Linked DNA regions of Oryctolagus cuniculus. The protein of the gene in region 5 purifies or fractionates together with the protein of the main gene of each other region. This does not show direct contact. Links are inferred from orthologs where the notes say so. Each region holds a gene or a part of one and is shown on either strand. Other genes may lie near its edges.

Region 1 (4,111 bases), on a different chromosome or scaffold from region 5:
GCAGGTAGAGCACCAGCGCGGGCCCGGGCCGCCGCAGCGCCGCGCTCACCTGCTGCAGGTACTGCGCGCGGCTCACGCGCAGCCGCAGGGCGCGCCGGTGGTGCACCAGCAGCCAGCAGCGCTGGCACACGGCGCGCGCCAGCTGGCCGTCCTGCGCGGCGCGGGCGAACTTCTCGCTGGGCAGGTAGCCGGGCACGCCGGGGTCCCGGCAGTGGAGCTCCGCCCCGCAGCCCGAGCAGGGCAGGCCGCTGGGCGGCACCGCCGGGTCCGGGCGGCCCGCGGCCGGGGGCGCGCGGAGGCTGGCCCGCGCCTGCCGCCGCTCCGCCCGGCGCCGCGCCTGCTCCTCCTGCTCCTGCTCCCGCTCCCGCAGCGCCCGCAGCAGCTCCTCAGGCGTCGGCGGGGGCTCCGGCTCCGGGGTGTACTCGGGGAACAGGAAACGCTCCTCGGTGTCGTCCCCGGGCGCGGCGGGGCCTTGAGGGAGCGCCCGCCGCAGGCCCGACGGGGGCTGGGAGGCGGCGGCGGCCGCGCATCCCGTCCGCAGCAGCCGCACCGCAGGCGCGGACCACCGCACCACGGGGCCCAGCAGCCTCCCCGCTAGGCGTGCGGGCAGCATGGGGATCGCGGCCCGCCGCGAGGGGGCGGAGCCACCACCGAGCACGCGCAGTGGGGCCCCAGGCGCCCGTTCTGCCCCAAACCCCGGAGGTGCGGCTTCCTTCCACCTCGAGATCCCGCGAGTTATCGCGATGAAAGCGTAGCGGGAAAGCCGCGGTATCAGCCTCCCTTGAGGGCACAGGTTCGAGTCCCGGCTGCTGCACTTGCAACCCGGCTCTCTGCTGGGGCCTCGGGAAGGCAGCAGAAGATGGCCCAAGTCCTTGAGGCCCCTGCACCCACGTCGGGGACCGGGAGGAAGTTCCTGGCTTCAGCTCCGCGGTTGTTGCGGCCACCTGGGGGAGTGAACTAGCGGTCGGAGGACCTCTCTGCCTCGTTGTAAATCTGCCTCTCAAATAAATAAATAAATCTTTCTTCAAGCTTTCTCAAGGCGCTACGGCCAGCACAAGTCGCACTTAATCCCTTTTAGTTTTGTGGCTTCCTGGTCTTTGGAGTGCAAACAATACAGCCTTAAACCTGCGAGCTCACGCCACGGCCAGAACCGCTAACAAATTCACTTGGATTTTTTTCAGGCGGGGTTTGTTCAACGTGAAGCAGCTGTAGAGCCGCCCCTCCGCCTCGGACTGGTCGCGCCCCGGCTCAGCCGCGCCCGAGCGACCCCGAGCCCAGCCCGCCCTATGCTTCAACTGGCGCAGGCGCAGATCCCACCTCGGCGACGGTGGGGCGGGCCTTCGGGGACGCAGAGAATTGTGGGAACACCGGAACCGGAAGTTGCTTCGTCTCTGCCTGCGGCCCTGTGGCGGCTGCTACGCGGTTTTCTGTCTCAGTGGTTTTTCTTTTTGAGGGTTAGGATCTCCTGGACCGTTTGCCAACATGTACGACGCGGACGAGGGTAGGTGACCATGCAACGCAGACTCCGCGGCGGGAAAATGGGGGAGCTGGACGGCTTTGCGTCCGCCGCCCGGAGACCCCCGCGGTGTACCCCCGCCACCCCCGGGCCGCGGTCCGAGCTGGGCGTGCGGGAAGTGGCGGCGCGGGGGATGCGCGCGTGCAGGCTCCTGGCCGGCTGTGTTCGTCCCGTGGTGGAGTGGCGTGCGGAACCGTAGGCAGATGGCGTTGTTCCGGCTCGGGGGCGTCCCGACGGTCCTCGGGTCCCCGGGCCACCGATGGACGGAGTGGCGCTGGCCATCCGTTAGGTTGTGTGCTGGGCCCTGGGAGCACGGCGGCCGCGGGTGGCCCTCCTCCGTGCAGTCCTAAACCTCGGGGAATTGTCTCGAAGGTGTCCTTGGAACTGACTGCGCCCCAGAGGGACGCGCGGCCGCCAGAGAGGTGTTCTGGCTCCCAGTCCCGTAGCCCCCCTGGCATCCCACCCGCTCGCCTCCGCTGCCTCTCGGAGGAAGCAGAAGCGCAGGCTTAGCGTCTCAGCGCCGGGGCTCATCGGACCCACCAGCTGTCCGGTTTGAACCGCGTCCACGCAGGTAGCTGCTGGTACAGATTCTCCTGCTCCAAGGTTTCTTTACGTACGTGTGAGTGAGCGTAAATGGGATTGTGTGGTTCCCCGATTTTCAGACAAAAAGCACCATTCGTGCTCTCCTGTATTTCTATTTCTTACATAGTATTATGTAGTGGGCTTTCCTGCCAGTGTGTGGAGTCCATCGTCACTGCTCGCTTGTTTAGATGTAGTGCGACTCAGCCAGTCTCTTAGGGATGGGCATTTGCATCATTCTCGTCTTTTCCTGGGAGGGCAGTGGAGGACGGCCCAGTGCCTGGGCTCCTGCATCCGCGCGGGAGACCCGTAAGAGGCTCCTGGCCCCGGGCCTGCCCAGCTCCGGCTGCTGCAGCCATTGGGGGAGTGAACCAGCGGATGGAAGCCCTTTCTCTTTCTGGAACTGCCTTTTAAGTAAATAAAAAATATTAAAAAAAAAATCGCTAAATAGAGAATTGTCAGGTCAAACGGTATATTCATTTAACATTTTGCAGGATGGTGCCAAGTGACCACTGTGCTATTAACTGCGAATTTACATTCTCATTAGCAACGTATAAAGTACCTGTGGAAGAGAAGAGTGGTCCATGTTCCATTCCTGCCTGTTCTGAAGTCTGTTAGATACGCCCTCATCAATTAGGCTGCTCCTTTCGGATGTTGCCATGTGAAAGTGTCAGATCTCTCTTGGCACCTGCAAAGAAGTTAAACTCTGCTCAGTTGTTTCTTTCCTGGGAATATCTGACCTTTCTCCTTCCATGGGCGACCGGGGTTCTCAGAAGAGTTTGTGGCCTCTCAGGTTTTCAGCACATTCTAATCTGATCTCAGTGCTGCTTCATTAAGATGCCCTTCCCACTGATACAGCCGGTAGCACTGTGTAAGCCTCAGGCAGGCCCTGCGGTATTTAGCATCATGGGTGAGTTCCTTTTGGCAGCCCATCTCCTCAGCCTTAGCACCGTCACTTGATTCTTACACCTATCAGACTTTGTCCCTTCTCATTCACTCCTGCTGTTCGCGTTTTCCGTGGCTTCAGTTACTGTGTATGTGGATGACGTCTCAATACATACGCACACATTCCCAGCTCAGATGTCCTGCGTCTCTAACTGAAGTGTCTCTGGGCTTCTGTAAATTGTCACTGCCCAGGCTGAGCTCACCATGTTTTTTATGCACCCCCGCTCCCATCATCATCTGCACTTCCAAAGCCATCGGCTTCTGGGTTGTCTGTCTTAGAGCATGGTACCACCCTTCTCTTTTGTGGGAACCAGAAACCTGGGCGTCATGTATTTTTATTTAAAAGTATTTTGATTAACACATAATATTTGTACATTGTGTGCAGTGCCAAGCAGTGTTTCAACACATATATGTAGTGTAAACTGATAGTCAAGCAGTTAGCATTTCCATGTCCTTATGCTTAGAACCTATCAGATCCTCTGTCCTGTTTATTTAATTTTTTTTTTTTTTTTAACAGGCAGAGTGGACCGTGAGAGAGACAGAGAGAAAGGTCTACCTTTTGCCGATGGTTCACCCTCCAATGGCTGCCGCGGCTGGCGCGCTGCGGCCGGCGCACCGCGCTGATCCAATGGCAGGAGCCAGGTGCTTCTCCTGGTCTCCCATGGGGTGCAGGGCCCAAGGACTTGGGCCATCCTCCACTGCACTCCCTGGCCACAGCAGAGAGCTGGTCTGGAGGAGGGGCAACTGGGACAGAATCCGGCGCCCCGACCAGGACTAGAACCCGGTGTGCCGGCGCCGCAAGGCGGAGGATTAGCCTAGTGAGCCACGGCGGCGCCGGCCCAGTGATAGACTTTCTACATGAGTGACATTAACTCAGTCAGTTGAGCCATCACTGCTGCCTTCCAGGATGTGCATTAGTAGGAAGCTGGAGTTAGGGGTCAGGGCCAGGGACTGAGCCCAGGTACTCTGATGTAGGATGCAGGTGTTCTAACCAGCATCTTACCCCAGGCCACACACCTGCCCCTCGTTGAGTTCTTTATGTAGTATACAATATATAATTTTTAAAAAAGA
Region 2 (3,500 bases), on a different chromosome or scaffold from region 5:
ATTTTATTTGGGGAAAAACCCACAGGGGCAGTGATTTCAGGATCTGGATCCGGGTGCTCAGATGTCCTCAGAGATTTGCTGCCTTGGACCTGCTAGCTCTGCTTTCCTCAGTGTTGGCTTATCTAGAGCAGATCAAGATTTTCCTGGTTGGCAGGTGGGCTGGTTATCAGCAGCTCCAGGACTGTGCCCGGTCACTGATCAGAAAGAACAGCTGCTGGGGCCCACGGTGTTGTGCGGCAGGTTAAGCTGCTGATAGTGATGATACCTACATCCTGTATCTGGGTGCCGGTGCAAGTCCTGGCAGAGTTCAGGCCACTCTGCTTCCAATGCAGCTTCCTGTCGATGCACCTGGGAAGGTGCTGGGAGATGGCCCAAGTACTCCACATGGGAGACTCGGATGGAGTTCCTGGCCCAGACCTGGGCTGCTGCGGCCATCTGGGGAGTGCACTAGCAGATAGAAAGATGTCTCTCTCTCTCTGTAACTCTGCCTTTCAAATAAATAAATAAATCTCTATTTTTAATTAAAAAAATGAGAAGTCATGTTATGTTATCAGAAGAAGGGGAGAGATGGGGCCAGGCAGAAACAGCCACTACTTCATTAACTGAGCAGTGGTCACTCAACGGTAGGAAAGTGGAATTGGGATTTTGTTAGTGCTCCATTCTCACCAGAAGGCCCCAGAGCTGGTGTACTTATCTGTTAAGTCATGCTTCCTCCTGATTCTGTACATATTTCATGATTGCCAGCCTTCTAGGAGTGTGCAGTTTATGAGAAACAAAAGAACAGTGGGGAAATAATTACACAATTTTATAGTCCTATTGCTTTGAGAGGAGAGAGAGACAAGGAGGGAGGGAGGTCTTCCATCTGCTGGTTCATTGTGCCTGCCACAATGCTGCTCCCAAAGATGGAGATTTTCAAAATGGAAGAAACTTGAAAGATTGATTATTTTTATTAACTATTCAATTGAAAACTTTTCCAGAGAATCCTGGATTTTAGAATTTAATAACATATGGCCGGCGCCGTGGCTCACTTGGCTAATCCTCCACCTGCAGCACCAGCACTCCAGGTTCTAGTCCCAGTTGAGGTGCCGGATTCTGTCCCGGTTGCTCCTCTTCCAGTCTAGCTCTCTGCTGTGGCCCGGGAGGGCAGTGGAGGATGGCCCAAGTGCTTGGGCCCTGCACCTGCATGGGAGACCAGGAGGAAGCATCTGGCTCCTGGCTTCAGATCGGCGCAGCACTGGCCGTAGTGGCCATTTGGGGGGTGAACCAACGGAAGGAAGACCTTTCTCTCTGTCTCTCTCTCTCTCTGTGTAACTCTGCCTGTCCAAAAAAAAAAAAAAAAAAAAAAATTTAATAACATAAGCATTGCTATATTGTATTTTCTTCCCATAGTGTTGGAGCAAGTCCAGAGCTTTCTCCCGCAGATGGCCCAGGCAAATGAAAAGCTAAGAAAAGAAATGGCAGCTGCACCACCTGGTCGTTTCAACATTGAAAATATTGATGGGACTCTGGGAAAAGTTATACAAATGGTAACTATGTGTCATTTTCATCTCATACAGGTCTCCTAAAAACAAGGGAGAGATTTTCCATTTTATTTCCAAGTGTTGGTTTTTCTTTTTGTTGGAGTCTGAAATCCTCCATCTGCTAGTTCACTCCCCAAATGGCCACAGTGTCTGGGGCTGGGCCATGCAGGCTCGGGGAACCTGAAACTCTGGTCAGGTCTCCCACTTCGGTGGAGGGGCCCAAGCACTTGAGCCATCGTCTGCTGCTTTCCCAGGTGCATTAATAGGGAGCTGGATCGGAAGTGGAGCAGCTGGGACTGGAACCAGCACCCCTATGGGATGCTGATGTTGTAGGCCTAACATTCTGCACCACAGTGCTGGCCCCATGTTGTTATTATTTTAACTTCAGGGGCAGAGGGGTGAGGAGGGATAAGGGGGACAGGACAGAGGACTTCCATCTGCTAGTTCATTCCCTGAATACCCACAACATCCAGGACTGCACCATGCTGGAGCCAGGAACTCATTCCAGGTCTCCCATTTGAGTGGCAGAGACCCAACTACTTAAGTTATCACCTGCTGCTTCCCAGGGTTTGTATTAGCAGAAAACTGGGGTGGTGGACTGGAGCCAGGATCCAAACCCAGGTACCCTGAAATGGAATGCAGGCATCTCAGACACTGGTGAGGCCAAGTGCTCACTCTATATTTCTTATCATGAAGCACTGATTTACTAAATGTCCTAACTGAATTTAGTTATTTTTTTTTTTAACGAAAAGAGATGATCATAGTCTGATTCATTGTGCAAAAACAATGTGTCTAAGGGAACAATAAACCATGGTTAAAATTGTCACTCAGTTTCTACTGATATCTTCTTTTTATACTGGAATTCCTTTTTTTTTTTTTTTTTTTAAGATTTTATTTATTTGAGAGGCAGAGTTACAGAAAGAGAGAGGGAGAGACAGAGAGAAAGGTCTTCCGCCTGCTGGTTCACTCCCCAAATGGCAGGAGTTGAGCCAGGCCAAAGCCAGGAGCCAGGTGTGTCTCCCTGGGCTCCCATGTGGGTGCAGGGGCCCAAGGACTTGGGCCATCCTCCACTGCTTTCCTAGGCCATAAACAGAGAGCTGGGTCGGAAGAGGAGCAGGCAGGACATGAACTGGAGCCCATATGGGATGCCGGCACCGCACTCAGAGGCTTAGCCTCGTGAGCCACAGCGCTGGCCCCGGGGCATCCCTTTCTAACACTTGTGTCTGGATGGACAGAGCCGACATCATTGTCAGTAAGCTCATTCATCAGCTCTATCTGCAGAATAAGTCCCAAATCCGACCACTGCGCACAGGCTCCATGGCCGGGTCCCTTGGCCCGAGTGATTACAGTCTCTCCTTTGGACTGTTCCAACAGTTTCCTGACGGGGCTTCCTGCGTTGTCCACTTCCTCCCTGGCGCCTGTTCTCACAGCCTGTGTGCACAGCCTGGGGCTTCCCGTCACATGATGATGAGTTGGAACTCATCACCCCTTCCGAGGGCTCTCACGATGCTGCTTTCCGTGCTCGCCCTGGCCTTGCCTCCTTCCCAGTGTCCCCGCCGACTGCGGCCGTTTTCCCTCCTGCTTTCTGGTGTTGCTGAATGCGTTCGCCCTCGCTGCTGATCGAGACTCTCTGTTCCCTTGGCCTCATCAAGAGGCCTTCCCTCCTGGCCCTGCCAGGGTCTTCCCCTGCTCTGTTTTCTCTGTACTTCTCACACTACACTGTGCTTTACAGGGATATTTCAGTTTGTGGAAAAGCAGAATTAGAAGACGAGTTTACTTTGGTGTAAAAAATTTTTTGTCTTTGATTGGTTGATTTATTTGAAAGGCGGAGTGACAAGGAGAAGGAGAGACAGAGAAAGATCTTCCATCTGCAACAGCCAGGGCTGGGCCAGCCCGAAGCCAGGAGCCCAGAGCTCTGTCTTGTTCTAGGTGGATGGCAGGGACCCAAGTACTTGGGCCATCATCCACTGCCTTCCCAGG
Region 3 (3,500 bases), on a different chromosome or scaffold from region 5:
ACCTGTAAGATATGATCTCCTTTAGATGATTGGTTAAGAGTTTTCCTCCCACATTTATCCTAAAAAGGGAGAATTCAAATTTGGCTCAGTTATCACACATTTCATCCTAAGAAATAATATGAAATAAGAAATAATGAAAAATTAAATGCACTCACCGAATAATTGCTTCTTTTTTCTTTTTACTTCTACAATAAGGAACTATGTGAGTAAAGGAGTATCCACTATCTACAATGATGCAGCATAATTCAGAAGGATTGTCTCGGAAATACCTGTGTGCACTGAGAGCCCCAGCTATTCACAAAAAGATTGAAAAAAGAAAAAGAACTCATTAAACAAAAGGGAAACAGAAATTTAAAGCAATAGATGGAACAAACTAAAAATGTTAATTTATGGTATTCATAATTGATACATGGTATTTCTAATGCTGAAACTTCAAAACATCACAGATAATGCATGGAATACAAAAAGAAACACTGGTTGGTCATGTTTTAAGAGTAAATATTCATATCTTTTTAAAAATTTTTATTTATTTGAAAGATATACAAAGAAAGGTAGAGACGGTGGGGGGGAGGGTGGAGAAGGAGAGAGAGAGGCAGCAATGGCTGAAGCTGAGCCGATCCAAACAGGAGCCACGAACTTCTTCCAAATCTCCCATGTTGGGTACAGGGGCCCAAGGACTTGGGCCATCCTCTGCTGCTTTCCCAGGTGCATTAGCAGGGAGCTGGATCAGAAGTAGAGTAGCCAGGACTCAAACTGGCACCCATATGGGATATATGGGATGCCGGCACTACAGGCTGGGGCTTTAACCTACTGTGCCATAGCACCGGCCCCTCATTTCTAAACTTATGATAATTATTACAAAAAAAGCTATTTTTTAATTAGCAATTTATATCTCAGGCTCTATTCTAAACTCTACATAACTTGTTTCTTCTAATACTCACGAAAAGTCCTGTTTACAGACGAAGAGGAACCCAAGGCACAGAGAAGTTCAGTAATATGCCCAAAATCATGTCATGGGAAAGTAGCAGAGCCAAGATTCAGACCTAGGCAGTATGGCTTTCCAGCAGGTTTTCCCAACCTCAGAACCATTGACAGTTTGAATCAGATCGTTAACCCTTTGTTGTTGGGGACTGTCCTGGTGTATTATAGGACATTTAGCAGCATCTGTGACCTTTACTAGAAGCTTACAGCACAATTACAGCTGTGACAACCAAAAATGTCTCCAGACATTGCCAAACGTCCCCTGGAAACAAAATCATCCTTGCTTCAGAACATTTCTTGAGGTTATGCTCTTAACTAGCACAAGTCACTTTTGTAAACAGCATAGAGAACTTGAAATACTTAAAAATCTGTAAGCTAAATATCAGGCAGTTTTTTTTCTGTAACATACATTTTTTCACTAACTCTTTGAAGACCCTTCATATGCATGGTCTTTTAAAAGTTTTGTACCAAAAGAGCCTTATCTTTTAATTCCATTTTCCAGGATCACTTTGAAGTCTCCTTGTATTGGAATGTTTTAACTGTATACAATCATGTAATTCTGTAATAAAACTTGCTATTAAATGACATTTACAGATTGTTTTCCCTCATATTGGCAGACTGAGCTCTTAAAATTATTTTAACCAATAATAATAACAAGCACATCAATGATAAAAAGGATAACTACCTCAGAAAAGTCTTTCAGAAATTAGAAACATGGCCAGTAATTTCACTGGAGAGAAATATCATGAGAGCACTTTAAAAAGTTCATGGAAAATGGAATTAAAAGGTAAGTTTATTTTGGTACACACACACACAAAAAAAAGAAATCCATGTGTAGTTTTTCCATAGAAGGCATTCTCCATGTAATTAGAGAGAGAGATCTTCTATCTGCTGGTTCACTCCCCAAATGGCCACAATGGTCGGAGTTAGGCCAATTTGAAGCCAGGAGCCACGATCTTCCTCCAGGTCTCCCACATGGGTGCAGGGACCCAAGCTCTTGGGCCATCTTCTACTGCTATCCCAGGCCATAGCAGAGAGCTGGATTGGAAGAGGAATAGCAGGACTAGAACCAGTGCCCATATGGGATGCTGGTGCCACAGGTAGAGGATTAATCTACTACACCACAGCACTGGCCCCATGAGTACATCAAGTTTTAAAATTCTGTTTTATTGCCTTTGTATTATGGGATTTTAAGAGTTTCTTTACGCTATTCATACTCATATCCATGTTAATTCAATTTCAATGTAAACTTTAACTCACCATTTACTCTCAATACTGCTTGAAACTGGTATTCTTCAAATAGAATTTCATTCATTGATTCTTGAATTGAAGTGAAGTTAAAATATGGTTCTGTGATAATAATGTTAGTATCTAAAAAATCAACCTATGAGACAGAAAAATAAAAAAACTTTTATAATTTCTAGTGATTATCATCAACACTTGCTTCATAGAAATAAAATTACTTAGGCCTAACAATAACCCTAATGTCTTATTACTATGACAGTTTTATTAAGTGGGCATACATTTATAATTTATATATATACATTATTTATTCAAATAAATATATTTATTAAATTAAACAACCCAAGACACAGAAAAGCCACCAAAGTTCATGTAGCTACTTAGTGATCTTAGCTTAAAGAATCTATGTAGTTAATGAGTATTATGCAACTTTACCTTTCTTATTAGTAGCAATAATTAAATGGTAGTGTCAAACTGTTTAAAGATACATATATAAAAGTAATTAATACCGCTGCAAGTATTGAGGCTGTAATTTTGTTTAAAAAGAAAAAGGCAAGATTCAATATATTTAAAGTTTACATAATTCTCTCCCATATATTCTTGAAGAATTTAAACATGAACATTCTTAGTATAGCTATAATCACACTATTGACTCTAAAAGTAAGAAGTTGTCTTATAATATTTACCCACTCAATGTAAGCAAAAACATTTGCTTGATAAAATGAAAATTACGTAGTGAGATTATCTAATGAAATGTCAAGTAAAATTTAACCTTGAGTTTCATATGGACTATCTCCACTCAACCTCCATCCACTTCAAAATAAATTCTATTAATTTGCATGTATTAAATGTTTAGAAAATCAAAGCTGGGCAAAGCTATATTTAAGTAACTCAAATATGTACTGAAAATGTATTTGCAAGTTTATAAATATTAAAATAAATGCTCTAACTTTTCATTCAAGTAACACATGAAAATAGAATTTGAATACATACTCTAATTTGTTACCTGATACATTTCTTTCCCAAAAAGGTAATCCCAAACTTGTCTTTGAACATCCCAATTCACCAAGTAGCCCTAAAAAATGTTTTAATCAAGTTGATTATTTAAGAATATTTGAACAATTTTTTAAAGTCAGATTAATAGCTCCAAGTCACTGATTCCTATCTATTTATAGTAACCATTTCCAGCCTAATGCTGTATGAATTCTAAACCAATTACTTGGCAAATTTTTCTCCCTTTAGAAGTCAAAAAAATTACAAAATAACATTAACTAAAA
Region 4 (3,500 bases), on a different chromosome or scaffold from region 5:
AGTAGCCACTTTAATATTTGCTGTGTTGATGTGAAATTGTCTTAGATTGGAAAGTGCTGTTGCTGCCTGTTTATCAAAATCAGATTGCTTACAACTAAACTTTCAGTTTTGCTTGATGCCACATAGTACTGAGTGGGAGGGGGTCAGACGAATTTGCTTTTGGTTTGATAAAAGGATGACTTATTAAGTTAGCATTTTAAAATATTCTGTATGTAGTACCATGAGGGACTTTATTTAGTTTATCTTCAGTAGATGATTTTTTTCAAATGTAAGATACACAAAAGAAAAAAACGCAAAACGAAGTTTTTCCTCAGTATTTCTCCTTTGTAGCCTCCAATGTAAACCTCTGGCATTCTTCAGGTTCTTTTTAATGCCATATTAAATTATTAACTCAAAGACAGAAGGATTGTTTAAATGAACGTCTGAGCACATAAATTGAGGTGTGGTAGTGGTCTGTTTTTGAACCAGTAGTTCTGTGCCTGCTATATTGTTAAGTACTCGCAGATGTTTGATTTTAAAAAAGATAGTTTGTATTAATAGTAATTTTTATAGTCATATGGATGCTGCTAATTACAGCTGAACCTTCAATTAATAGGCTTTCACTTACAGTTAGTTGAAGTTCTTTTTTTTTTTTTAAAGATTTATTTATTTATTTGAAAGTCAGAGTTACACAGAGAGAGGAGAGGTAGAGAGAGAGGTCTTCCATCTGATGGTTCACTCCCAAATTGGCCGCAATGGCTGGAGCTGTGCTGATCCAAAGCCAGGAGACAGGAGATTGTTCTGGGTCTCCCATGTGGGTGCAGGGGCCAAGGAGTTGGGCCATCTTCCACTGCTTTCCCAGGCCATAGCAGAGAGCTGGATCAGAAATGGAGCAGCTGGGTCTCAAACCGGCACCCATATGGGATGCCGGTGCTTCAGGCCAGAGCAGCTGAGTCTCGAACCGGCGCCCACATGGGATGCCGGTGTTTCAGGCCAGGGCAGCCGGGTTTTGAACCAGTGCCCATGTGGGATGCCTGTGCTTCAGGCCAGGGCGTTAACCCACTGTGCCACAGTGCCGGCCCCTGAAGTTATTTCTTATGCTTGAGAATAAGAACTGCTTAACATTATTCTGAAATTCATAATTTTAACTAAATGTCTTTTCTACTCTGCAGTGATGTATTATTATGTTGAAGCCTGATAATCCCATATCTTGAGATGCTTGATAACCTACTTTCAGTTTTTAGGTCAATTTCTGAAGTAAGGCTTTGCATTGCTCATGTTTACATTGTAGAATGTTTAACCTTACATTGCCCAGTTGCAGAGCTGGATAAAGGGAGGATTTTGGCTATTTTCGGGTACATTGACCTCTGTCGTTCTGATGTAGTAGATTTTTTTCAGGTAAATTTTTTTAACACCTTTCCATTAGAATTATCTTTTCCATGCCATTGCATCTTCTCAACAGCTGGTGAAGTGGTAGTATTCTGAATATTTATCATAAGTTACTTGATTGGCCAGTGCTGCGGCTCAATTGGCTAATCCTCTGCCTGCGGCGCCGGCACCCCGGATTCTAGTCCCAGTTGGGGTGCTGAATTCTGTCCTGGTTGCTCCTCTTCCAGTCCAACTCTCTGCTGTGGCCCGGGAAGGCAGTGTAGGATGGCCCAAGTGTTTGGGCCCTGCACCCACATGGGAGACCAGGAGGAAGCACCTGGCTCCTGACTTCGGATCGACTCAGCACACCCCAAATAGCAGCCATTTGGGGAGTGAACCAACAGAAGGAAGACCTTTCTCTCTGTCTCTCTGACTGTCTAACTCTGCCTGTCAAAAAAAAAAAAAGTTACTTGCTTGTACTTCTGTTTTCAGAGTTAAGTAGGTTCTCTTATATAGTTGCTGTTAGATGATTTTCTAATGTTGCTGCTTTTAACATTTCGTCCTTATTGGATAGATTTGGTTTGGATAAGATTTTGTTGAACGGAGCTAGAAATATGGATAAATGGGTTGTTTATTCTAAAATTATTGTTTTTAATAGAATCGTAAGAACGATGAAGCCTCTTATGAAAAGATGTTGAAACTGAGACGAGAGTTCAGTAGAGCCATAACAATTTTGGAAATGATTAAGAGAAGAGAGAAAACAAAACGAGAATTGTTGCACTTAACCTTAGAAGTTGTGGAGAAAAGGTAACATTGCTACTATTACATACTAGTAGGAGCTTTAACCAAATGATGGGCAAAATATAACCAAAAGATCTTTTTTTTAAAAGTTTATTTTGGCTAAGCTTTATGATAATTAATATTGATTCTCTAACAACTTAAAATTTTTTAAAGACTTGTGGCACTGATTTTTTTTTGCCAGATGAAATTTTTAATTTGAAATACTTTTGCATATTGTATAGATCCTCTAATGCACTTAAGTATTTTTGCTTTTTGGAAGAATCACTGAATTTTATTTAGAAAAGAACTTAGAGATTCTGTTGTTCAGTTCTCTCTATTAAAAATTTCTATTAAAGAAAACTTCAAGTAAATGAAGGTTTGATTTTTGTTTTCTGACTAAGTGGACAAAGTTTTTTGTTTCAGCTCTTCTCGGGATGTGTTTTCTAATGGCATTTTCCTTCATAATTAAAAAAACACTAAACCAGATCTAACAGAATTTTGTGTGATTCCCTAAGCAAGTAATCTAAACATCATTTCTCAATACTTGGTAATATAAAATATGTGTCAAATTCATTTTCTCTGTACCTTACGCATTTTTTAAAGTTGTTTATTTTTTTTTTTTTACTGAATCCCAAATCTATGTTGCTTTACTCTCACACATTTTCTCTTTTAAAAATCTAATTAATGTTTAGCTGTATTTGTTTAGGTGTGTTCTAATTGAGATATCTTTTTTTCCATTATTGTTAAAGTATGCAACTTTGTATTTTTATTTTTATTTTTACTTTTTAAGATATCATTTAGGAGACTATGGTGGTGAAATCCTTAATGAAGTGAAAATCAGCAGGTCAGAAAAAGAGTTATATGCCACTCCAGCAACTCTTCATAATGGAAACCATCACAAAGTCCAAGAATGTAAAACTAAGGTGAATATCCTCTGTGGAAAAGCAAGTATGGTAATATTGATTTCTGCAGTTGTCTGAATACAGTTGGTTAAGGAAAAAAGTAATTAACATTCATTTAGTTCTAATTATTTGCCAAGTGCTTTGCTAAGTGTTTTTATATACATATTGACTCATTAATCTTCACAATAGTCCTTTGAAGTTGGTTTTACCTCTGCGTGACTTCTGTGTTGGAGCTAGTAAGTGGCACCTTCAAGGTTTGAATCCAGGTCTGATACCAAAGTACATCACTTTCCAGTATTCCTTCTGCTTCCCTAGAGAATAAAGATAAATAAAGCTTAGTTGTCATTAACCTTAGCAAATCCTGCGTCATAGTGGCAAGTATCAAACTAAAATTAAAGCTTTCTTTATTGAGACTATTTGAAGTTATTCTTTGTCATCATTGCCAGACCAGCATTTATCAATTGTTATATC
Region 5 (2,858 bases):
AAGGAAACCCTGACCCCACCAGGCAGGCCCTGCTGCTTGTCCCCTCCCCGGAGCCCCTGGCTGGTGGGTTCTGGTCCTTGCACGTCAGTGGGACCCCAGCGGGGGGCCTTCGGCGTCTCCTTTCGCTCTGTGTGGCGTTTTGGAGGTTCTTCTGTGTGTGTCAGAGCCACTGATAGAATGCGGCTGACCCCCCTCCCCTGACGCCCCTCTTGTTTTTCTGTTTTCTGCTTGTTGTTAGTGCAAATAGATTGAAAAATGGCCTTCTAAATTAGTTCCATCTCTTGGCAACTAAGTTTTGAATTTTAAACATGTGGTAAAATATTTAAATTGGGGGCAAGCTCTTCCCAAGGTACTTATTTAAGTTATATGCTTTGCCACACAGGAAATCCCTGGCTGTGTCCCCCCGGCAGGCCCGGTCAGGATCCGCTACTGGGGATGTAACTGAGAAACGTGAACTGTGCTTGTCTCGCAGGGTGGGGCCTGGAAGTTGTGTCTCCTTGTTTCTGCTTAGCTGGGTTTTCCCAATTTTTTAACATGGGTATAAAAGAGGAACGTTGGAGTGTGACCCTGCTGGCCAGTTTGTGGGACCTTTCAGATTTAATTATTTGAAAGGTAGTGTTAGGGAAAGAGAATCTTTAATCTGCTGGTTCACTCTCCAGATGGCTGCAATGGTTGGGGCTTGGTCAGGCTGAAGCCAGGAGCCAAGAGCTTCATCCAGGTCGCCCACATGAGTACAGGGACCATCTTCCACTGCTTTCCCAGGCCATCAGTGGGGAGCTGGATCAGAAGTGGAGCAGCTGGGACTCAAACCTGTACCAATAAGGGATGCCAGTGTCACAGGCGGAGGCTTAACCCACTATGCCACAGTGCTGGCCCCTCTCTTAACAGGCTCTTTGAGGTGTGAGTGTGAACAGCTCTGTGACGGACAGGTAGAACTCTGCACAGGCTGAGAGTGTGCACCGTGGCCGGCGCTGGCCTGTGCTGTGGCGGGGAACAGACCCCTCACCCCCAGGAACTCCCCGTGTCGCCTGTTCTGAGCTGTGTCAGCAGAGGCCGGCACAGGGCTGCAGGCTCATCGGGGAGCCTTGGGCAGCACCGGGCCCTCTCTGAGCCCCTTCCTGGCTCATCTCCCCTCACAGGGCTCCAAGGTGGGCAAGCTGACCCTCAAGACCACAGAGATGGAGACCATCTACGACCTGGGCACCAAGATGATCGAGTCCTTGACCAAGGACAAGGTCCAGGCCGGGTGAGCAGGCAGGCTGTGCAGGTGGCCTGGGTGGCCCGGGTGGCCTGGGCGGCAGGGACTCAGACCCCCCTCCATTCTTCCTCCGCCCTCCCTCCCCACCCACAGGGACGTGATCACCATCGACAAGGCCACGGGCAAGATCTCCAAGCTGGGCCGCTCCTTCACACGCGCTCGGGACTACGACGCCATGGGCTCCCAGGTGCGCCAGGACGCTGGGGACACCCTCGACCCCGGCCGTTGGATGTTCTGTCGCCTCTGTGACCACAGGGCCTGGGTCCTCCTGTCCCTGTGCTCCTGGGTCTTGTAACCCGGGACGCTGCCCCTCACTCTGAGTGCCCTTGCGTGCCCCTTGGCTTGACCTCCCCTCCTGGGCCTGGGGTTTCTGAACGACCACTCTCTGACCCCCCAGACCAAGTTCGTGCAGTGCCCAGATGGGGAGCTCCAGAAACGCAAGGAGGTCGTGCACACCGTGTCCCTGCACGAGATCGACGTCATCAACTCCCGCACCCAGGGCTTCCTGGCTCTCTTCTCAGGTGAGGGTCCAGGCCGGGCAGCCCCCGACTCCCCCCGGCCTGGGGACATGGCGGAGACCCAGCTCGCCGCCGCTGGGATCTGCTTCCTCTGTGCCCACCCTGCGGTCTCGGCCTCGTCGCCTCCCTGACTCCCCGACGCCGCCCTGGCTCCTGCAGGTGACACCGGGGAGATCAAGTCAGAAGTCCGCGAGCAGATCAACGCCAAGGTGGCCGAGTGGCGGGAGGAGGGCAAGGCGGAGATCATCCCTGGGGTGAGCACCGGGGCGGGAGGGGCGGGGGGCCTGGCCGGGAGGGCGTGCCCTTGAACTCGAGCCCCCGCGCCCCAGGTGCTGTTCATCGATGAGGTCCACATGCTGGACATCGAGAGCTTCTCCTTCCTCAACCGCGCCCTGGAGAGCGACATGGCGCCTGTGCTCATCATGGCCACCAACCGTGGGATCACCCGGTGAGCTGGCACGGGGTCACGTGGGGCCCCGTGGGCTGCGGGCTCCCAGCACTGCTGGCTCCGACAGGAAGCCGTGCCTTTCCCTGGAGCAAGGCAGGTGGGTGACTGGGTGTAGGCAGCTCGCCCCGGCCCCAGGAAGCTCTCGGGGGTGCTGTGGACGTCTTAATCCTGAGGGAAGCACAGTGACCTCTGTCCGACCCCGCACAAACCACTGAGCCCCGGCTGCCTGGGCAGCGCGTCCTCTGTGTGATCGTGGCCTCAAGCTGCCCTGGCAAAATCCCTGGCATCTGACCGGCACCGTGCCCTGATGAGTCCCGGGAACCTGTGCCCTGGGTGTGGCCTCCGTGCCCCACCCCTGCACACGCGTCAGCCATCAGCCTGTGAGGAGGGGGAGGGCCAGGAGCCCGCATTGCCTGGGATGTGGAGCCTGCACCAGCGCTCCCACCGGGCCCCGCCCTGCTGGGACGCTGAGCCGTCACTGTGCAGCAGGGGGCCATCAGTGAGCCGGGAACTGGGCCCGGCCAGGCGGGGCGCTGGGCAGTTTTGCCTGGCTTTTGTCTGACACTGTTCCTGGAAGACCTTCCTGGACCCTCAAAAGAAGCCCCGCAGGGCGCGGTCGTCTCCGCCAGCTTCA
Region 6 (3,092 bases), on a different chromosome or scaffold from region 5:
CGGAGGCTGCTGGTGTCTGGGTGGTGGGGGATGGTCCGCCACCCCAACTACCTCGGGGACCTCCTCATGGCCCTGGCCTGGTCCCTGCCCTGCGGTGAGTGCCCCGGCGGAGGGGCGGCCCCCGCTGGCCCTGGGCCTCCCCCGCCCGGCCGGACAGCGTGGAGACCCTTGCGGCCCCTCCCCGCAGGGCTGTCGCACCTGCTGCCCTACTTCTACATCATCTACTTCACGGCGCTGCTGGTGCACCGGGAGGCCCGCGACGAGCGGCAGTGCCTGCAGAAGTACGGCCGCGCGTGGCTGGAGTACTGCCGGCGCGTGCCGCACCGCATCGTGCCCTACGTCTACTGAGCGCCCGCGCCCCGGCGGAGACCCCTCCTCCCCTGCATAAACGGCTCCAAGTCGCCGCCCGCTTCCGTTCCATTCTGGGGCAGGGCAAGGCTGGGACACGCCGTGGGCCCGAGAGCCCGGGGCTGGGCGGGACAACTGAGCTGTCACTCCGGGCAGGGCCAATCTCCGCTTTATTGAGGCCAAGCCCCCCAGGTCAGCCAGGGAGCTCTTCAATGAGAGCCCCTGGGGCAGGTGGGGCGGGGGGCACAGGGCCGCCCCACAGCCGCTCCAGCTCCCCGGCCAGGGCGGCCACCTCCTCCGCGGCCGCCGCGTGCGCGCCGTGCGCCCTGGCGCAGTCCACAGCCAGGGGCCCGAGGGCCGCCTCGTTCTCGTTGGCCCAGGCCAGCAGGTACTGGCACTTTTTCCGGGCGCGGTAGAGGCGATCTCGGTCTTCGCCAGCCGCGGTCTGTTTCCGGGCACGGCCGAGGGTCCGAGCCAGGTGCCCCAGCGCGGCCAGCGTGTAGCCTTTGGGGTCGGCGGGGCCCCGGCCCAGCAGGATGCGGCCGGCCTCTCGCATGGCGCCCCGCGTCCCCAGGGGCCCGGGCGGGTGCTCGCCGGCTTCCAGGACGTGGGCTGCGGCCTGCAGGGCCTCCTCGCTAGAGGCGAAGACTCGCTGGGCGCCCAGCGCTCCGGAAACGCCGAGCAGCGTGGCGCAGAAGTCGGGGAGCAGCGCGTCGTCGCCGCCGCCGTGGTACAGGGCCAGGGCGTGCGCGTAGGCGAACAGCACGTTGGGCAGCTGGAAGCGCACGAGCGGCGAGGCCGGGCTGCGGCTCAGGCTGGCCAGCGCGGGGATGCGGGCGGGCACGGCGGGCGGGCGGGCGGGCTCCGGCTCCAGATCCGGCTCGGGCTCCGCGGCGTCCCCCACCGCCTCCACGAGCCGGGGTCCGTCCCCGCGCCCCCACCACCACGGCCGCCAGGGAGGCAGCAGCCGCCCGGCCTCGCCGCGGCTCAGCAGCCGCTCGAAGGCCGCTTTCTCGGCAGGTGCCAGCCGCTCCCAGAGTCCCGAAAGTCCGCCGGGTGCGGGGCCCGGGCTGAGGCCTGCTACCTCGGGCTCGTCCTCGGTCTCGCGTTGCTCACGCAGCCGGCGCAGGGCGCTGGCCAGGCGGCTGGGCGAGGCGCTGCGGCCGCGAAGCTCCCCCAGCACCTGGTCGCGGTAGAAGTCCTCGGCGCAGGGCCCGTGCGCCCGATAGCAGCGCAGCGAGCAGTAGGGCGCATTGCAGCGCGGGCAGGTGTAGCGCGCGGCCCGCGTCTCCCCAACCGGGCAGAAGCCGCACGGCCCGGCCGGCTCCATGGCAACTGGCAGCGCATGCGCGCCGCGGACGTCACGCGCGCCGCGGGCCAACTTCCGGCGCCTCCTCGGTTACTTCCGCTTCGTCGCGGAGCCTTCCGAGCGTTAGTCCATGCCAGGCTGACAAGGGCTCTCGGCAACTTCCGCCCACACTCGGAAGCCCCGCCCCCTTTGCAGCGCTAGGGCGCCACGAGTGTCCCGTCTGTGCCAGCCCGCCCCCTGGTGGTCGCACCGCAAAACTGAGCAGTGCCGGCTGAAATCATTTTTTATTTTTTTTTATTTTTTTTATTTTTTTATTTTATTTTTTTTTTTATTTTTTGACAGGCAGAGTGGACAGTGAGAGAGAGAGAGAGAGAGAGAGAAAGGTCTTCCTTTTGCCGTTGGATCACCCTCCAATGGCCGCCGCTGCAGCTGGCGCACCGCGCTGATCCGATGGCAGGAGCCAGGATCCAGGTGCTTTTCCTGGTCTCCCATGGGGTGCAGGGCCCAAGCACCTGGGCTATCCTCCACTGCACTCCCTGGCCATAGCAGAGAGCTGGCCTGGAAGAGGGGCAACCGGGACAGAATCCGGCGCCCCAACCGGGGCTAGAACCCGGTGTGCCGGCGCCGCAAGGTGGAGGATTAGCCTATTGAGCCACGGCGCCGGCTTGAAATCATTTTTTTAAAAGATTTATTTATTTGAAAGAGTTACAAAGAGAGAGGAGAGGCAGAGAGAGAGGTCTTCCAGCCGCTGGTTCACTCCCTAATGGGCCACATCAGCCGGAGCTGCGCCGATCCAAAGCCAGGAGTCAGGAGCTTCTTCCAGGTCTCCCACGGGTACAGGGGCCCAAGCATTTGGGCCATCTTCGGCTGCTTTCTCAGGCCATAGCAGAGAGCTGGATCGGAAGTGGAGCAGCCGGGACTCGAACCAGCGCCCACGGGGGATGCCAGGACTGCAGGCGGCAGCTTTACCCACTATGCCATGGCGCCGGCCCCTGAATTCATCACTAAGCAGGGAACTGGGCAGCCTTGGGAGAGGAGATGGGTTCCTGCCCTGCAGGAGCAGCCAGGCTGCCAGGGGACACTGGGAAGCACGGGGCTGAGCGGAAGAAAGGGCGAGACGGCAGCAGCCCGCCTAGCCCAGTGCACGCTGGGGCATTTCTAACGTCTGCACCCACGCTCCCCCCCTCCCGCCCCTTGCCTCTACTTCGCAGTAAATGTCTTCCACGTATTATCATGGCGGACTCCACACTGGGAGCCAAGGACACAGGCAGGTGGAGCTTGGGCGTGGTGGCGTTGCTGGGCCATCATCAGTGCTGGGGCGGTGACTGCACAGTGCCAAGACACCCGGGACAGGCAGGGAGGGCACTAAGTCATCCCCTGGGCCAGCACATCAGGGCGCTGGGCGACTGCTCACGCTCCTGGTGGGGACAGCTCC
Region 7 (3,500 bases), on a different chromosome or scaffold from region 5:
AAACTAAACTGGTGATGAAAGTTGGGCTTGATCATCATTTTGGCTACTTTTGTCCCTCAGAAAATCAAAACTGTTGCATGTTTTATTCATAATCTTGCAGTGAAGCCAGTCTTCTTCATAGAGAATAATGAGTTCAACTTACCAATATTCTAGTTAGTGTGATTCTTACTAATTTGGGTGGTGTATAAGGAGCAGAACAGTTTCACAGCAGATACTGGAAATACAGTAGCAAAAATGCAAATTCAGGAATGTGAAATGTTAGCATATCATGGTTGATGATGGTGCTGGCTGTTACATGTGTAAATGGTTTATCATTAACACTATTTTGTATTGTATTGCTGCTTTCTAGAATTTTGACAAACTAAATGTCAGGACAACACATTATACACCTCTTCCTTGTGGCTCAAATCCTCTGAAGAGGGAGATTGGGGACTATATTAGGTAAGTGTGTTGGGAGCAAGCACTGTTGATAGAAACCTACAGTGGCTTTGTCTTGAATGTATAACCTGTTCGCGTGGTGAATTTTTTTAACTCTTCAGGTTTGTTGTTTTATTGCAGCATGAGAGCAAATGGTACATTAATTTTCTGTCCATTCTAGGACAGGTTTCATTAATCTTGACAAGCCCTCCAACCCCTCTTCCCATGAGGTGGTAGCCTGGATCCGACGAATCCTTCGGGTGGAGAAGACAGGACATAGCGGTACTCTGGATCCCAAGGTGACTGGCTGTTTAATCGTGTGCATAGAACGAGCCACTCGCTTGGTGAAATCACAGCAGAGTGCAGGTATGTGAAGACAGAAGGCAGGTTTACCTCCACATTTTGCCTCTTGGAAATTTTCTTCATTAAGGGGAAAAAACCTACCCTGAAGCATGGATATGCTTTTTGTTTCTGTGTACCTTCTGTCCTCTGCCAGATCTTGGTGGGTCTACATTTGGAGTTCATAGAGGCATGTGTTGATAAATTCCGTTCATGCCACTGAGGCAGAATTCTTTCCGAGTCCAACTCTTGTCTTGTTCCAGGTTCCTTTCACGTTATGTTTCTGTGAAATCTGCACCAAGACACTGAATAATGTTGAGCTCCCAATGTCGTCGTTCCATTCCTTTCCTTTCTTTTCAAAATGTCTGCTTTTCCTGCTGTGCAAGATGGCAGCTATGGAGCATATAACAAATACAGAAAACTGAGTGGCCACACCTGACTACTCTTTTGTCATTTTTCAGGCAAAGAGTATGTGGGAATTGTTCGGCTGCACAATGCTATTGAAGGGGGTACCCAGCTTTCTAGGGTAAGTCTCTCACTTTAGGGAAGGGAAGTTGGGTCTCAGCCCTTGAAGCCTTTGGAAACAGCCACCTTTCGTGGCTGACCATGCTCCTGCCCTTTTCAATGGGCTACCCCATCCAGCCACATCCCTTCTGAGGAGCTGCTTCCCATCAGCCCTGAGCCGTCCCAGGGGTTGAAGAACGAAGCAGAAATGGAAAGAAATGGCTTTTTAGTTATTTTGAAGAAAACCTTTTATGTTTTGTATCCTTAAGCTCCCCAAATATGCCCTCTCATCTTATTTAAGAGGCCATGTAGGGAGAGTGCTTGTTTCTATTTGTGCTTATTCTCAGGCCCTAGAAACTCTGACGGGTGCCCTCTTCCAGCGACCCCCACTTATTGCTGCAGTGAAGAGGCAGCTCCGAGTGAGGACCATCTATGAGAGCAAAATGATCGAATATGATCCGGAAAGAAGATTAGGTGGGTTGTTGGGTCTTTGAGGAACTGAGTTATCACAGGCCGCATTGGGTAGGAACTCATTCTGGAAGGTTCTACGGTAATCTTTGAAAATACTATGTGGTGAGGTCATATCATCTCTAGGCTTGATGACTTAGAAGCAGACTAACTCTGGAAAATACTCTGTATTGTGTTTATGTCTTAGGCATATTTTGGGTGAGTTGCGAGGCTGGCACCTACATTCGGACACTGTGTGTGCACCTTGGTTTGTTATTGGGAGTTGGCGGTCAGATGCAAGAACTTCGAAGAGTTCGTTCTGGAGTCATGAGTGAAAAGGTGTGTCTTCATGGAGCTAGAAGTTTTAGAGCTGGTTCTGGGTATCTTGCAGCCCCTGGTGGAACTCTGCCTACTTCACACCCTGGGAAAGGCCACTTCCAAAGTGTTGAGTTCAGTTCAGGGCATCTTCCCTGTTCTGTTAATTAAACTTTGGTACACTAAAAGGGGTTTGGAGATAGAACTGGATAGAAAGTATCACTATTCGTTTATCTCCCAGCCTACAGCAGTGCTTTCATAAAGTGAATCTATAAACAGTTACAGGTGTCCAGAAGGGAGGTGAGTATGAAGACGCTCAGGGTTCTTCATGAGCTTGCACTAGTGGAAGAGATGCATGGTATATGAGTGTCACAAGTGGTATCTTAATTATGTGGCCAAATGCCCGCTGCTGTTTGTGGACCTGTGAACTGTTGGAGATCTGAAGACACTGAGTTTTTTCCTATGTACCTGCTTTTCAGGACCACATGGTGACAATGCACGATGTGCTTGATGCTCAGTGGCTGTATGACAACCATAAGGACGAAAGCTACCTGCGCCGAGTTGTTTACCCTTTGGAAAAGCTGCTGACATCTCATAAACGGCTGGTTATGAAAGACAGTGCAGTAAGTTCTGCGATGGGAATGCGCATTTGAACAGAAACTGACTCCAAAGATAGGATATGGTCTTTTCTTCTTGGAAACTCTATGTGCCTAAGAAACCTTGACTGACTTAAATTGTTCTAAGACAAAGTTAGTTTAATGGGGAAAAGTTGAGATTAGAGAGATTCAGAGCTGTAACAAAGTTATTTATCCTGTAGAAGTTTGAATAAAATATTTTGTTAGTGTAAATAAAACATAGTTTGAGGCTGTGAAAGCGAAACTTCACTGAGGTTATCAACCTCTTTTTTTTTTTTTTTTTTTAAAGATTATTTTCACTCAGGTGGCTGTAATAGCCAGAGCTGAGGCAGATTAAGGCCAGCAGCCAGGACCTTCCTGCAAGTCTCCCATGAGTGCAGGGCCCCAAGCACTGAGGCCATCCTTCACTGCTTTGCCAGGTGCATTAGCAGGGATCTAAATGGGAAGTGGAGCAGCTGGGACTTGAAGCAGCGCCCATAAGAGATGTAGATGTTGTAGGCAGTGACTTTACCCACTATACTACAGTGCCAGCCCTACAAGTCCTTTTCTTAACATATTCACTAACTTGCCTTTTACTTGAGAGTATTCCTATTAGCAATGCAAGTAAATATTTTTCAGTTGGGGTTTCTTTTGTAGTGGTCATTTTAAGAATAAGTTTCTTACTTTCCAAGTAGTCCAGAATTTGTTAAGTATGATCAAAGAATGTAGTTTATAAATTTTGTTAAAGACTAGGCAGGCATGAAAATTCTCTAAGGAGAGAGTAGAATATGGGTAGCAAGAGATCTAGATGAGTGAAGATGGTATAGCATAAGGCAGATAGATTCCAAAGTGCTGTTGAACTGA

Evidence for each region.
Region 1: the proteins of RUVBL2 (region 5) and POLR2B purify together in Homo sapiens (affinity purification with mass spectrometry; 3 studies listed by BioGRID and IntAct, with this or other methods). This does not show direct contact. The link is inferred for Oryctolagus cuniculus from reciprocal best matches to the Homo sapiens genes RUVBL2 and POLR2B.
Region 2: the proteins of RUVBL2 (region 5) and NOPCHAP1 purify together in Homo sapiens (affinity purification with mass spectrometry; 4 studies listed by BioGRID and IntAct, with this or other methods). This does not show direct contact. The link is inferred for Oryctolagus cuniculus from reciprocal best matches to the Homo sapiens genes RUVBL2 and NOPCHAP1.
Region 3: the proteins of RUVBL2 (region 5) and ACTR6 purify together in Homo sapiens (co-immunoprecipitation; 7 studies listed by BioGRID and IntAct, counting the BioPlex papers as one, with this or other methods). This does not show direct contact. The link is inferred for Oryctolagus cuniculus from reciprocal best matches to the Homo sapiens genes RUVBL2 and ACTR6.
Region 4: the proteins of RUVBL2 (region 5) and EPC2 purify together in Homo sapiens (co-immunoprecipitation; 4 studies listed by BioGRID and IntAct, counting the BioPlex papers as one, with this or other methods). This does not show direct contact. The link is inferred for Oryctolagus cuniculus from reciprocal best matches to the Homo sapiens genes RUVBL2 and EPC2.
Region 6: the proteins of RUVBL2 (region 5) and ZNHIT2 purify together in Homo sapiens (affinity purification with mass spectrometry; 5 studies listed by BioGRID and IntAct, counting the BioPlex papers as one, with this or other methods). This does not show direct contact. The link is inferred for Oryctolagus cuniculus from reciprocal best matches to the Homo sapiens genes RUVBL2 and ZNHIT2.
Region 7: the proteins of RUVBL2 (region 5) and DKC1 purify together in Homo sapiens (affinity purification with mass spectrometry; 5 studies listed by BioGRID and IntAct, counting the BioPlex papers as one, with this or other methods). This does not show direct contact. The link is inferred for Oryctolagus cuniculus from reciprocal best matches to the Homo sapiens genes RUVBL2 and DKC1.

What each region holds. Positions count from the first base shown.
Region 1 is NC_091439.1:107,684,745-107,688,855, reverse strand, and holds the start of POLR2B (DNA-directed RNA polymerase II subunit RPB2), read left to right. Parts: upstream 1-1,311; 5' UTR 1,312-1,482; coding exon 1,483-1,501; intron 1,502-1,888; exon of another isoform or gene 1,889-2,087; intron 2,088-4,111. Other genes in the region: NOA1 (nitric oxide-associated protein 1), read right to left, coding at 1-613. UniProt on the Homo sapiens protein: Catalytic core component of RNA polymerase II (Pol II), a DNA-dependent RNA polymerase which synthesizes mRNA precursors and many functional non-coding RNAs using the four ribonucleoside triphosphates as substrates.
Region 2 is NC_091442.1:107,698,928-107,702,427, forward strand, and holds part of NOPCHAP1 (NOP protein chaperone 1), read left to right. Parts: intron 1-1,389; coding exon 1,390-1,526; intron 1,527-3,500. UniProt on the Homo sapiens protein: Client-loading PAQosome/R2TP complex cofactor that selects NOP58 to promote box C/D small nucleolar ribonucleoprotein (snoRNP) assembly. Acts as a bridge between NOP58 and the R2TP complex via RUVBL1:RUVBL2.
Region 3 is NC_091442.1:103,127,366-103,130,865, reverse strand, and holds part of ACTR6 (actin-related protein 6), read right to left. Parts: intron 3,299-3,500; coding exon 3,230-3,298; intron 2,366-3,229; coding exon 2,242-2,365; intron 292-2,241; coding exon 156-291; intron 60-155; coding exon 3-59; intron 1-2. UniProt on the Homo sapiens protein: Required for formation and/or maintenance of proper nucleolar structure and function. Plays a dual role in the regulation of ribosomal DNA (rDNA) transcription.
Region 4 is NC_091434.1:93,465,265-93,468,764, reverse strand, and holds part of EPC2 (enhancer of polycomb homolog 2), read left to right. Parts: intron 1-2,005; coding exon 2,006-2,154; intron 2,155-2,917; coding exon 2,918-3,050; intron 3,051-3,500. UniProt on the Homo sapiens protein: May play a role in transcription or DNA repair.
Region 5 is NC_091449.1:8,259,068-8,261,925, reverse strand, and holds part of RUVBL2 (ruvB-like 2), read left to right. Parts: intron 1-1,139; coding exon 1,140-1,246; intron 1,247-1,351; coding exon 1,352-1,445; intron 1,446-1,655; coding exon 1,656-1,779; intron 1,780-1,935; coding exon 1,936-2,030; intron 2,031-2,105; coding exon 2,106-2,224; intron 2,225-2,858. UniProt on the Homo sapiens protein: Possesses single-stranded DNA-stimulated ATPase and ATP-dependent DNA helicase (5' to 3') activity; hexamerization is thought to be critical for ATP hydrolysis and adjacent subunits in the ring-like structure contribute to the ATPase activity.
Region 6 is NC_091432.1:6,442,677-6,445,768, reverse strand, and holds ZNHIT2 (zinc finger HIT domain-containing protein 2), read right to left. Parts: upstream 1,713-3,092; 5' UTR 1,679-1,712; coding exon 542-1,678; 3' UTR 501-541; downstream 1-500. Other genes in the region: delta(14)-sterol reductase TM7SF2, read left to right, coding at 1-94, 188-348. UniProt on the Homo sapiens protein: May act as a bridging factor mediating the interaction between the R2TP/Prefoldin-like (R2TP/PFDL) complex and U5 small nuclear ribonucleoprotein (U5 snRNP).
Region 7 is NC_091453.1:133,384,611-133,388,110, forward strand, and holds part of DKC1 (H/ACA ribonucleoprotein complex subunit DKC1), read left to right. Parts: intron 1-349; coding exon 350-441; intron 442-598; coding exon 599-783; intron 784-1,217; coding exon 1,218-1,282; intron 1,283-1,607; coding exon 1,608-1,734; intron 1,735-1,915; coding exon 1,916-2,046; intron 2,047-2,142; exon of another isoform or gene 2,143-2,272; intron 2,273-2,501; coding exon 2,502-2,645; intron 2,646-3,500.